Linked DNA regions of Caenorhabditis elegans. The protein of the gene in region 1 interacts with the protein of each later gene in a pairwise test. Each region holds a gene or a part of one and is shown on either strand. Other genes may lie near its edges.

Region 1 (2,886 bases):
CTTGATCGCAATGTGTCCACCGTGCTTATCGAGCCAAGATGCACATATCGCGAATTAATTATGACTGGAACAACACCTGTAATATCCCAGTTCCTCGCCATCTCTCTGCAATTCTCTGCTTTGCTCCAAATTTTTAGAAATCCTGATCTGTTACATTTATCACATTTTTGTAAAATGCAAACATCTTATTGTGACTATGAAACCCGCATTTTAAAAATGTATTAATTCTCGCAAGACTTTAAATTCTCAACTTAAAAAAAAAGACTTTTTCTTTTTTGAATAAAGTTAACTATTGTTTTTTTCCTTATCAGTTGCTCGATATTAGTCTACCTCCCACCTTAACTGTGCGGTAGCATCATGTTTCAAATTGTCACATTGTTCACGAGGTAAAAAACATCACGTCACTATTTTCCCGTCGCTCTCACCTTCTGTCAACATTAGTAAATAGATTTTTTTCGTTCCAAATGTAATGTTACGGTTCATTTCTTTTTTCTCATATTCAATTCAGTGACTCAGTGTTACTTGTTCGTACCTTTATTCGTTTACAGAGAAGGAAATGGATGAAATTCAGTTCAACATAAAGGTAACTAAATCACGAGAAATTGAAACCAATATTATGAGATGATGGGGAGATTTTTTGAGAGGAAAAGAGCATTTGATTGAAAAAAAGAATACGATCCGAATTGCTGATGATGGCGTCATGATTGTGAAGCTTTGCATGATAAGCTTAGTAGGCGAGGATGACGTAGCAAGCGTGGATGATTCCGGGAATATATCCGAGGATGGTGAGAAGAATGTTGATGGCCAAGTGGTAAGTGCATCCCTTCTCGAGCCAGACTCCGATTGGCTGAAAATAAGTTGTTTAATTTGATTTTTTTTGAAAGATTTGAAACTTACTGGAAGAAGCAGAGCGCAGAGGAACTTTGGAATGTCGGTGCAAGTGAGAGCCATAGTTGCAATAGTTGAGAGTTCTGAAAATGCAATGTAAGTAAAAAGCCAACGAAAAGCAAAAACGTAAGTGAATAAACGAGAAGATGGGTTTAAAGCATTATCGACAAAAAGACAAGGATGTATATTTCAGCAAAAAATGAAAAAGCTGTTCTCTATCATGTTTTATACGTTGGAAAGTTGAGTCACCTATAGAAACTTCAGGGGAAATGTTTTTATGTTTTTTTCTTGGGTGCACTGAAAAAATGTTATATTTCATAATACTAAGCTGCGAAAGTCTGTTTTTTTCCGCATAACTGAAACAGCTGAAACGTCATGCTTCAGAGTATTAGCTAAAATCAGTATGCTCAATTTCTTAAAACGCAAAACTTGAAATTTTGGCAACAAAAAGTACATATCATTAGTTTATTTTTAATTATTATTTTCAGTTAAACATCATTATTGTTTGTATTGTTGTGACAAGGATGAATCAGAAAACCATTTTTTCAAAGTCAGAATTTTGCAATTGTTTGTCAAAAGGAGTGCCAACATGTTTGCCTATGAAACTTGCTACCAATGGAGTCTACAATACTACTAATATTACATGTTTTGAGAAAAAGGGTTTTCTGAGCAAACAAACGTTCAATCAAAAACAGTTTTGCACATCTCATTTCTATATAAAATTCACAACTGGCAATCAAAATGAGATACGAATAAAAACAGCGTAACGCTTTATGATAAAAATCCATGGCAACCGGGATTAGTGACTTCTCAGGCCTGTCTAGTGAGGAGACGGAGAGGAATAGTCGAATTTGCCATTTGGTTTTGAAATGATTGGGGTTTGAGAGAATAGCGAACGAAACGGCAGATTTCTTGTTTACAACGCAAAAGAGGGGGTGCTTGACATTGAAAATTTGACCTTCTTGCCGTTTTGCAGCGGGTTTTCAAAAAAATCTAAGAAAGGGAAAGATATTTTTTGACATAATAAGAGTCAAACCGAAAAGTCACCTGATACGTGATTAACAAGCTTTCCGAGCGGAAGAAAATTTATTTTGGGAGCTGAGAAACTGAAGTTTAGACTTACAATATTATGAAATAGCTAGCGCGGTGGAAACAGACTTAATCAGAATATAGAAATTGATTTCGTCTTTCTGCCTCGCTAAACAATTTGAAAAGGAGATTTAAACTATTGCAACTAGATTAAGCACTAAAGGAAATTGAAAACCAGAGCGTTGCAATGTGAAGTGTCAGAAAAACTGCATAAGACCAAACAAAACTAGAAAATGGAGTACATCTGTCACTTGCATACTAATGAGAAATGTAGAAAACAAAAAAGTGGCGGATCAGCAGGTGCAAAGGGCAACTGAATGAGGAATGCGCGTTCGCTTTTATAGTGCCTCAGAGACCGAGCAGGGGGGGGGGGGGCACACACAACGTAGGTCATTTTGGCGGGCATCGTGTGGTCCCCCGCCTGTATCCAAAGATCAAATGTTTTTTGAAAGTAATCCTGTGGGAAACCGCAAGAGAGAGGGAAGAGGGGGATGAGAGAGGGAGAGATACTTGTTGTTGTCTCTTCACCCAAATGGTGCACATCTTTGTGGTGCGTTGAGGGGAATCTGATCATCTCTAAGACATCAAAGATTGAATAAAAAAAACATTCACTTTCGAAAATTGTTGCTGAGGAGAAGACAAGGAAAGAACACTGGAATGACGTACAGTTAGTCATATTAAACGGTTCCGGAAAACATTTAAAAGTGCTTTGGAATTTATTTGTTTAGGTAATTTTTGTAGTTATTTGTGTAGTTACTGTTGTCCACTATTTTTTTGCTTTTCTATGATTCACCAGAGACGTTACAAGCAAAGCATTTCGGCTCATTTGTAGACTTCCGAAAGAACTCTATATCAGTTGTGTCATTTCAAAGAAGATTCTTTAAATAAGTCCTTACCAAATTTTTATGA
Region 2 (5,922 bases), on another chromosome or scaffold:
ACATCACCAGAAGCTGGAAAGGACAAGACAATAAACGTATTCAGTGGTGAGACAATCCCTGTCCGTGTAGATGGAGCCATCACATCAACACATCCATCGCCAATTCGATCCATCATTGTTTTTGCGGAAATCACACATCTGGCAAATCATGCGGTATAAGCCTTTCTCAACGAAAAGTCCATAAATTTTATAATTTTCAGCAAAATCAAATTCTGCAAGAGTTAGTTGAGCCGAGCGAGAACAACTACTTCACGGCGCAATTCCTGCTCAATTTTAAAACTGTAAAAATAACCACCAAATCAAAAAAAAAATTTTAATTTTCAGGCATGCGACGTCAAATTCCGAATCGAATTCATTGATCAAACATCACGAAAGCAGTGGAAAGCGTATAATGTGACGACACTTCACTTCACAGTTCGCGAGAAATATTCATCGGTCGGATTCGAGCTGAAACGAGTCGGACATCAATTTCCACCGGATCCCAGGAGGCACTTTCCGAAAGGATCGTTGTTTCATGCTGAGGCGTGAGCAGAGAAATAGAGCATATCGTGAATAATTTTGAATTTGAACCATTTTTCCTTCTTTTTTTATTTAAATCGACACAAAAATAATATTTATTTCGATTTTAAAAATAACTAGAAATTGTTGAAACTTTAATGAAATTAAGAGTGCCAATTAGCTTGATGAGGTAAAATTGTCTCACCACGATTAACAAACAGGGTGGTCTTCCGTTCCATGGGCCGAGCACACCGAGCACAACGACGACAGGAGGTGGTAGCATGGGCAACTGAAAAGTTTCAGATTCATCTAATGAAATTAAATTTGAATTCAAACAATACCTCCATCTAATGCTGCTCCAGAAATGCTCTTCATAGCGTTATCCTGTAAAACTGCAAACTTTCGATCGTATTTCTCATGAGCTTCTCGCCAGGCAGCTTCAACTCTAGGATCCGGTTGAACAATTATCGGACGGCTTTCAGTTTTGGTCAATGGGTACAACATTTTCGAATTTTCATGCAACTGATCTCTCAATTTATCATATTTTGCTCTTCGATTATCTCTCATCACCATATCATCATGAGCTTGACGAGCTTTAAATTCTTCCAGCATTCCAATTGATTGTCTGAAAAAATCTTATTTTTGGATCATTCGCAGCGCGGTTTTACTTCGTGGCCGTGAAATAAGAAGCCTCGGTCAAATCAGTGGCCGAGTTTTTCCTTTTCTCTAGGCCACGTAGCAAAAACCGTTCTGCGTGAAAAAGAAAACGAACTTGAAAGTCTGATTCCTTTCAACTTGATTTGTATGTTTTAACCCCTTCAATCGAGCATCTCTCCATCCATGTTCATCTGGTCTCTCAGCCCACCACAACCAATTTTTATCCGACGGAGCACCGACTCTGCTCATTTCCATTTGGAATTCCAACTGTTTTCGAGCCATTTCTTTAGCATGTTCAATGGATTTTCGTTCCGCTTCTCGAGCATTCGCAAATCTGAAAACATTATAGGCGTAGGTAGGCGTAGGCACTTGAACAGGCATAGCCTATGAGTGCGATAAGATTGAGGTAAGAATGAGGTTCGCGTGTAGGCAGGCATGAGGTAGGCCGCCAGGCCAGTTGGCAAAAACCATGGAATAGGGATAAACTAGGCATATAGGCAGGCAAAATATACGCATGTGATAAGCACAAAGGCAGATAGACATGAGGCCTATAGGCAGGCTCGTAGGCAGGCGTGAGAAATGGAATGGGTAGGATAGATATGAAATATATATATATAGATATGGAATATGTAGGTTTGAATTCGACAATCACTGTAGCCGGCGTGAGATAGGCAACAACTAGGCAAGAGGTAGGCAATCAGGTAGGCATGAGATAAACATTTGGCAGGAGCATTGTGAGGGACCGGTCTTAGAGAACACTTAGGCAAGGTAGGCATGTTCTACAAATGAGGTAGGCGTGGGATAGGCATATAAGGCTTGAACTAGGCATGAAGGTGGTCTAGAGGAAGAAGCCTACCTAGTGCCTTTTCAGTTCTTGCCGCTTTCAAAACAAAACGGTTTTTGAAATTTGTGTGCGACATTAAATTTTAGATTTCTCTGTATGAATCTTGGATCAAAATACTAAAAACAAAAGTAAACAACTTACTCCAGCGCGGCTCTCGCATTGCTCGTCGCATCAATCGCCTCATTTTTCTCAAATTCGGCAATCCGTCTCAATCGTTTCTCTTCGACTTGTCTATCGAGTTCTGCTCGGTATGCATCCTTCCGTGTACGCACTTCAACATCTCGACTTCTAGGAGATTCGTGTCGGAATATATAGTTTTCCAGCTGAAAATATATACAACTGACTCTGAGAAAGAACATTAAAGTGAACAGATTGCGTACTACTGGGGATTTAGGTCTTCTCTTTTTCATCTCAATCATTTCAGCATTCACACGATCGACATGATCTCGAAGAGCTTTATTCCGTTCCGCTTCTTCCTGAAATTAAAAAAATTTATTGTAGAGAAATTAATTATTGAAAATAACTCCCACAATAGGTCATAACTAACCCTTTTAAAAGTTTCTTCCTTTTCCCTTGTCAAATCTTCATACATCTTTGCTCTCTTCATAGTTTCTTCATATTTTCTCCGTTCCTCTTCTGCTTGACGTCTCATTCGATCCATATATGCATCCTCGGCTTGACACTGAGCACAGATTTCATTACCGTAATAGTCTTCATCAAATTTTGTAATTGTTGCTTTGATTTTCTGAAAACAAATTTTTGGTTTTTTAGTGAACTTCTCGTCGTTGGCAAATTTGGTAATCGTACCTCATTACCACTTTCGAATCGAATATTCCCCAGGTTTTGTTCAATCTCAATCATAGGATCCTGATATTGTCGCTCTGCTCCGAATCCATTCATTACACCTCTATCCACGTCTCTCCCAATATTCTCTCCCAAATTGAATTTCATGTTCATTGGAGGTGTAGATATTCCACGTGGCATTGGATCGTTCGGATAGATTTCCGATGGAAGATCCATTTTATAACGATCAATGTTGGGTAAGGAAGTGTCAGCACCACCCATAAGATTGGCGGGAAGAACTGGAAATGCTAGAAAAAATACAGGAGAAAATATTAATCTTTTTTTTTTTGAAATATTGAGATTTGTTGCTAACCTGGCAAATCGGAGATTTGCTAGTCGAATTAAAAAATGTTAAAAAAGGAAAACTTATAAGTTACAATGAAAACACATAAACTTTTAATAAATCGTAAGAAAAACTATGAAAACTTTGAAATTACAGTACTCTTAAAGGCACACAATTTCCGCATTATGAAGAAACCTACAGTAACCCTGATGAAGAAACCTACAGTAATCTCACCTAAACTCGCATCATCTCTTCCAAAATTCGAGATATTCGCCGGAAGATCCATCATTTCTCGACTGGGATCCGGATCTGTCAAATAATGATGCATCCCGGCAATTGGTGGGGTTCCATTCATTGGTGGTGGTGTGTCTAAAGGTGAAACTGAAAATTAATTATTTGTTGTGAAATCTGATTTTCTTAATTCTACATTGTGTTGTATAATTCTTCATCATTCTCGGCTCATCTGGTGGACGGAATCGTGGAGCTTCAAAGTTATCCAGTGCTTCTGAATTCATCGTTTAATTATAGTTTCGTAAAAGATTCGACATTTAATTTTAAAGGCCCACGCTGCTTTTCCAAATGGGTCCCGCCACGATCGCAGATATAGTAGTGTTTCAAATTTCACATATTTGTTGATTTAATATAGACAAATAAGTTTTGTAATTAAGAAATTCCAATTCCGCAAAAAATGTTTTTTTCTAATCTAAAACCAATGCCGGAGGGGGGGGGTGTGCGCCTTTAACTGATTACGGTAGTTTAAAAAATCGATTTCGCAACTTTCTTCTATTTTTATAGGTTTTTTGCTGTTGGTTTATTTGTATTTTGAAATTTTTTGGTCAATATCAAAAAGGGAGCAATCAATTAAGAAAATTAGAGGAAACAACTACCGTACTCCGCTTAAAGGCGCACACGTCTTTTCAAGAAAATAACACCATTTCTTTTGTTTGTTCCAGGACCCAGAAACATAATTTCTATCTATATTCACTTCACATGATTCAAACCTCTTATCTTATCAGCTTCACTCGGCTCTCGATTTCCCATACGATCATAAAAGTAGACTTTTCCGTACCGCATCCGCAATAATTATAATAGTATTTATATAAATAGGAGGTGTCCTAGAAAATTGAAAAACGCTAAACTAATATAATGACTTGTTGGCGGGTGAGCTCCCTCCGAGATTCAGAATTAGTGCACACTTCACTGCACCAACTAAACTTCCGTAGGTATCTACGAAAAGCAGATCTGCACCGGAAAAGAGGTAAACATTCAGTTTTATTTATATTTACTTTTACTCAGCCTACAAGTTTGAATTTTGCTTATGAAAAGTTGAAACTTCTTCGATCCCAGCATACTAGAGGTGTTCCCAGTTTTCTCAATGCTCAACAAGTGCATAGTATGCACTGCATACCGGAAACCACATTTTATTGGTCGAATCGCTGGGTATACCAGATTACATGCAATAAATTAGGGAAGGCAATTGGTGAGGGAAATATAATCACAGAGTGGGAGAAAAGACGAGATGGTGAGAAGGCACTTGGGGTGGTTTGGGCAGAAGACGGGACGCTTTACTCGACGGTAACTGACTTGGCCAAGTTGCGGGGTCGGTCGACCTGAAAATAGATTATACGTGTACATTTCAAGATTAAGACGATTGTAAACTTACATTAGCTCCATTGAGCTCAGCAATGTGATATGAGAGTAGCTGGAGTGGAATGACTGTGAGAATGTTTTGGACACAATCAACAGTTTTTGGTACACGAAGAATATGCTTCATTCCAGCGAGATCGCCTTCTGGAACGGTGCAGTCGGCAATGATGATTGGAGCTCCTTTGCGAGCAACGACTTGTTGAAGTGCATTCAACGATTTCTGAAAAAATGATTTCAATCAAAAAACAATTCAGCTCATTCTTACCTTGTATACGCGATCGTTACAAACAACCATGCAGATGCTGAGGAACTCATCGACCATGGCAAGTGGACCGTGCTTCAGTTCTCCAGACATGATTCCTTCGCAATGCATGTAGGAAAGCTCCTTGATCTTGAGAGCTCCTTCGAGGCATGTGGCAAAGTTCAATCCTCTTCCCATGATGAGAAGTGATTTCTCCTTGTAGATTTGTTTGGCGATATCAAGAACTTTCTCGTCGAGTTGGAGAACTTCGCGGATAAGTTCTGGAAGATCGTTGAGAGCGTCAATGATCTCTTCACGTCTCTTAGCCATGGAGATTCGGTCATCGGAGAGGGTGAGAGCAAACATAAGCAAGGATAGGATCTGAGAAGTGTAGGCCTTGGTAGAGGCGACTCCAATTTCCGGTCCGGCGTTGATGTGAATTCCGCAATGAGATTCACGGCAAATGGATGATCCGACAGTGTTGGTGACTCCAATTGTGAGAGCTCCACGTGGCTTGCAGTATCTGAGAGCCAACAACGTATCGGCAGTCTCTCCACTTTGAGAAATGAAGAGACATACATCATCACGGAAGATTGGGGTTTCACGATCCAAGAAGTCAGAAGCAAGTTCGACGACGACTGGCAGCTCAGAAAGTTCTTCAAGGATCTGACGGCATGCGATGGCAGAGTGATAGGATGTTCCACAGGCTACCATAATCAGACGGCGGCAACGCTTGATATCAGGAAGGTACTCTTTGATTCCTCCTAGAACGACTTGTCCCGATGGAAGAACACGTCCACGCATTGTGTTGACTACCGAATCCGGTTGCTCGAAAATCTCCTTCTGCATGTACGTTTTGAAAGATCCCTGAAAAATATGTTTTTATTCAAGTTATTCCCATTTTCCTAT
Region 3 (3,673 bases), on another chromosome or scaffold:
ATCCGGATGCCCAGGAAGGTTAGAATTTGGCACGAGGAGTAGGCGATCACGCCTCGTCGATCTAAGGCACACTGAGCAGATCAGACCTAATTGCGACCTGCTCGGCAAACTCCACCAGCTTTCACGTAGTGCGCGTTTGAAATTTGGTAATTTGAGATTAATTGATAAAGGCCTAGTGGGTTTGCGCCGCCTGCGACCAAAGAATGATTGGACAGACTAGGAATCCCAGCTGAGTGAGGCGCGAAATGCGGGCCTCACGCTGATACCGCTGTGTATTCGAATGTGTATTCAAAATATATTCAAATGCAAAAAGGCAGTTATTTGAAGCAGCCGACACTGTCGGGGTTCACTATACATTCGGATACATGCGGCTTGAGTGACGCCGTGAGGCCGGCGCGGTGACCGCTGAGGCCAGCGGATGCGCCGTTGCGGCGACTTCATGGAAGCCCTAGCACATACCTATCTAAAATACTGCGCCAGAAAGCTGACAACATTCTGGAGAAAGTATCTACACTAACTATAAGTTAACTCGTCAGCACTGTTGCCAGCTATACCGTTACCAATTTTCTTACAGGAATCGATGCGAACATCCTTATCTACATCCTACTCCTTGTCCTTCTCATTTGGTGCTTCTGTATTGCCCTGTGTCTTATTTGGATGTACGTGTGTGCCAAGCAACGAAAACACAAGATGATCAGTAAAGCTGAAGAGGAACGTGAAGCTATGTTGGCACTTTTGGAGAAAGGACACGAGACGGAGCACAGTTCTCGTAGAGCTAAACCATCGGTTTCTGTGGAAAGTGATGAGTTTGATAAGGAGTGGAAAAATGTGAGTTACAAAAACAGTTATTGATTTTTTTTCCAATTTTTAAATTGCAGATCAAACCATCCAAGTACACCCCCGCTTCTGTTTCCACTAACGAAACTAAATCCGAATTGGAGAGTGTGAAGCAACCGGTTGCAGCTACCCATGTCGCTCCTGTAGAAGTTTCAGAGTTCGAGGAGAGGCTCGATGATGATGTGGATCATAAGCCAAGACATGGAGGATATGTTAAGACGAAGAGAACTGCTGACTTACATTTTGACTGAAAATGAATAAAGTTTATGAGGGAATTAAATGGAATGTTAGTTGATGACTCAGGAATAAATTTTCGATAATTCCCAAGAGAAATGTGGTGACCCCTGGTAGCTTCTAGGTAATTGCAAATGAATTCTCGTATGAAAATGTTATAAATTGAAAAAATTCTCTCAATTTTTAGTACACGAGTACCCTGAACCTTGTGCTGTTTTCAAAGTATGTGTGTCTAGCTTCCCTCTTCGTCTATGCGCCTCTCACTTTCCGAACACATTCGCTGGTCCCACTTTCTGAACCCGCTTTTTCTCTGTTTCATGTTTTTTGAGCATCAATAAAAACAACGAATGTTTCCTACTTTTGACCAGTTTTCCGGTTTCAACTGTTCAGCAATTTTTTTCGATCTAAAGCAATAGTTTTTACTGTAATTTCTGTAGTGTTTGAAGAAAACCCCACGGATTTATGAGTTATAAAATATCAATATGCGTTTTTAAGTGTTTATTTCGACGAAATTTTTTTTACCTCTATTTTTATCAGTTTTAGAGCTCGATGAGCCGAGTAAAATTATTGAGTAGTCAGTAAACTCTTTTATCTATTTTTTCTATTTTTGAGCACCAATTTTGTAACAAAATGAAATTTAAGAATTCGGACCAATCTTTGCTTAGTTAAGCGCAATTTCAAACAATCAGCAACCCGTTTTTTATAAGTTTCAGATTCGAAATAATGGATCAACTATTTTATAATGGACCACCTGATTACGTTGAAATTGAAGACCGAGCCATAACAACTGAACCAGGAGCTTCTATACAAGCAGCTCCCGGAGCAATTTGGATGGAAGCACTTCCAGCGATTGAGGGAATCCCAGCAGGGTTGGAATACCTTGCCTACTTGGACACGGTCATGGTGCATCAAGTGAAGGAGGTTCTTGAGATTCTTACTGGATGGGAGAGTAAAAATAAGTATGCTATTAGAAATAAAAATGGACAGCAGTGTTACTATGCGTTCGAAGAATCCAACGCTTGGGAGAGACAGTGTTGTGGATCGCAACGAGGTTTTACGATGCACATTGTGGATAATTTTAACAAGGTGAGTTATGGCCTAGAGATGCAGATTTCTAAGCCATGAAGCTTGAGTTCTTATCACTTTTTAACTCCTGATTATTTCATGGGATGTGTAATAATAGGAAAACATTCCTAAAGTTTCTTGAAAATTCTTTTAAATTAAGTTTTTAAAACATTTGTTTTGTTAAGAATGTGCTCATCGTCAAACGAGAATTAAGATGCTGCGCAGACTCATTTTGTGGATGCTTGCTAGGTCTTCAAAACATATGCACCATTGAATCACTATCAACTGGCCTTCTGGGTACTGTCCTTCAAGGATATGGTTGCACGAATTCATTCTATAACATTTTGGATAAAGATGGAAATCTGATTTTCCTAGTTGATGGTCAAGGATGTTGCACAAGTTGCTGCTGTGAAGATAAGGATTTTACGGTGACAAGACTTTGCCGAATTTAAAATACTCCATACTTTTCAGATCAAAACTCCCGACAGCTCCGTGCCAATTGGCTCAATAACCAAGAAGTGGGGTGGACTATTGCGTGAAGCGTTTACCGATGCCGACACTTTTGCAGTCACCTGTGAGTTAGTCTTGAAAGTGAAAGAATAGTTGAAAGAATTTCAGTTCCCATCGACCTTGATGTCAAGCTCAAAGCGATACTGCTGGGAGCCACATTTTTGATTGTGAGTTTTTGTGCTTCTTATCCAAAATTTAATTTAACTATTACTCTATTTTCAGGATTTCGTGGAGTTCGAAAATAATAACTGATGTGGAAAAACTGGAAATCTCGCAATGCACTTCTCGCTTGTTTTCTGCGATCAGAGCTCTAATTATGAAATGATAATGTGCTTTCTTTGTATGCATGTATATTAAAATAAGACATTTTGCAAACGCGCCGTTTGCATCGCTTTGCTTCTTTTCTTCAACATCTTCAAAATGAAATAAAATAATTATAATTATATCGCACTTCCAATAAGCGTAAAGCAAGAACGATTGAATATATAACGGAGAAAACTCCGATATTAAAAATCTAGAAATCTTTTGATTAAAAATCTTTCGGTAAACTGATAAATACAAATTTGGCCTACTTTTCACCTGTATCGTTACCACCGACATGCTCTACTGCCATGCACATCTCTTCAATTCCGTGATTTACGAGACGAGAGGCAATAAAGATCACAGTTACGTTTTTTAAAGATTACAACTTTTTCAACTTCTTAGATTTTCACGAATACTTCCTTGTTGCATGTCTACGAAGCAAGCCTGCTGCCGAACCCAATTCTTTCAAAACGAACTATATTCATTTTTCAACCCTTTTTGATAAGTTTATCTTTTGTTAAAATATAAGAAAATGTCTTCGGAAGATCCTATTTATTCACAAAACGAATCACTGTTGTTAGGCAGTTCTAACAAGTAAGTTTCTTTTTTTGCACTGCTAGTGAGCCCAAGATTTTCCAAATAAAAGATTAATTTTGGCCATTTTATATTCAAAAAATTTATTAAAGGAAGTAAAACGTTTATCGTTCAGTTTTTCACAAAAAAA

The links.
Region 2: the proteins of T23F2.5 (region 1) and F07A11.1 interact in a two-hybrid assay, tested with the Caenorhabditis elegans proteins (one large-scale study listed by BioGRID).
Region 3: the proteins of T23F2.5 (region 1) and scrm-2 interact in a two-hybrid assay, tested with the Caenorhabditis elegans proteins (one large-scale study listed by BioGRID).

Annotation. Positions count from the first base shown.
Region 1 is NC_003284.9:5,516,190-5,519,075, forward strand, and holds T23F2.5 (UPF0057 membrane protein T23F2.5), read right to left. Parts: upstream 975-2,886; 5' UTR 952-974; coding exon 898-951; intron 848-897; coding exon 728-847; 3' UTR 519-727; downstream 1-518.
Region 2 is NC_003280.10:11,587,862-11,593,783, forward strand, and holds F07A11.1 (uncharacterized protein), read right to left. Parts: upstream 4,263-5,922; 5' UTR 4,200-4,262; coding exon 4,127-4,199; intron 3,631-4,126; coding exon 3,553-3,630; intron 3,507-3,552; coding exon 3,360-3,506; intron 3,082-3,359; coding exon 2,807-3,081; intron 2,745-2,806; coding exon 2,547-2,744; intron 2,476-2,546; coding exon 2,380-2,475; intron 2,323-2,379; coding exon 2,141-2,322; intron 2,017-2,140; exon of another isoform or gene 1,867-2,016; intron 1,490-1,866; coding exon 1,271-1,489; intron 1,124-1,270; coding exon 840-1,123; intron 788-839; coding exon 663-787; 3' UTR 573-662; downstream 1-572. Other genes in the region: ints-7 (Integrator complex subunit 7), read left to right, coding at 1-153, 201-281, 325-528; gfat-1 (glutamine--fructose-6-phosphate transaminase (isomerizing)), read right to left, coding at 4,691-4,735, 4,789-4,992, 5,038-5,880.
Region 3 is NC_003279.8:13,233,573-13,237,245, forward strand, and holds scrm-2 (Phospholipid scramblase), read left to right. Parts: upstream 1-1,775; 5' UTR 1,776-1,794; coding exon 1,795-2,157; intron 2,158-2,321; coding exon 2,322-2,564; intron 2,565-2,607; coding exon 2,608-2,710; intron 2,711-2,754; coding exon 2,755-2,813; intron 2,814-2,868; coding exon 2,869-2,898; 3' UTR 2,899-3,091; downstream 3,092-3,673. Other genes in the region: ZK1053.2 (uncharacterized protein), read left to right, coding at 1-18, 575-828, 879-1,088.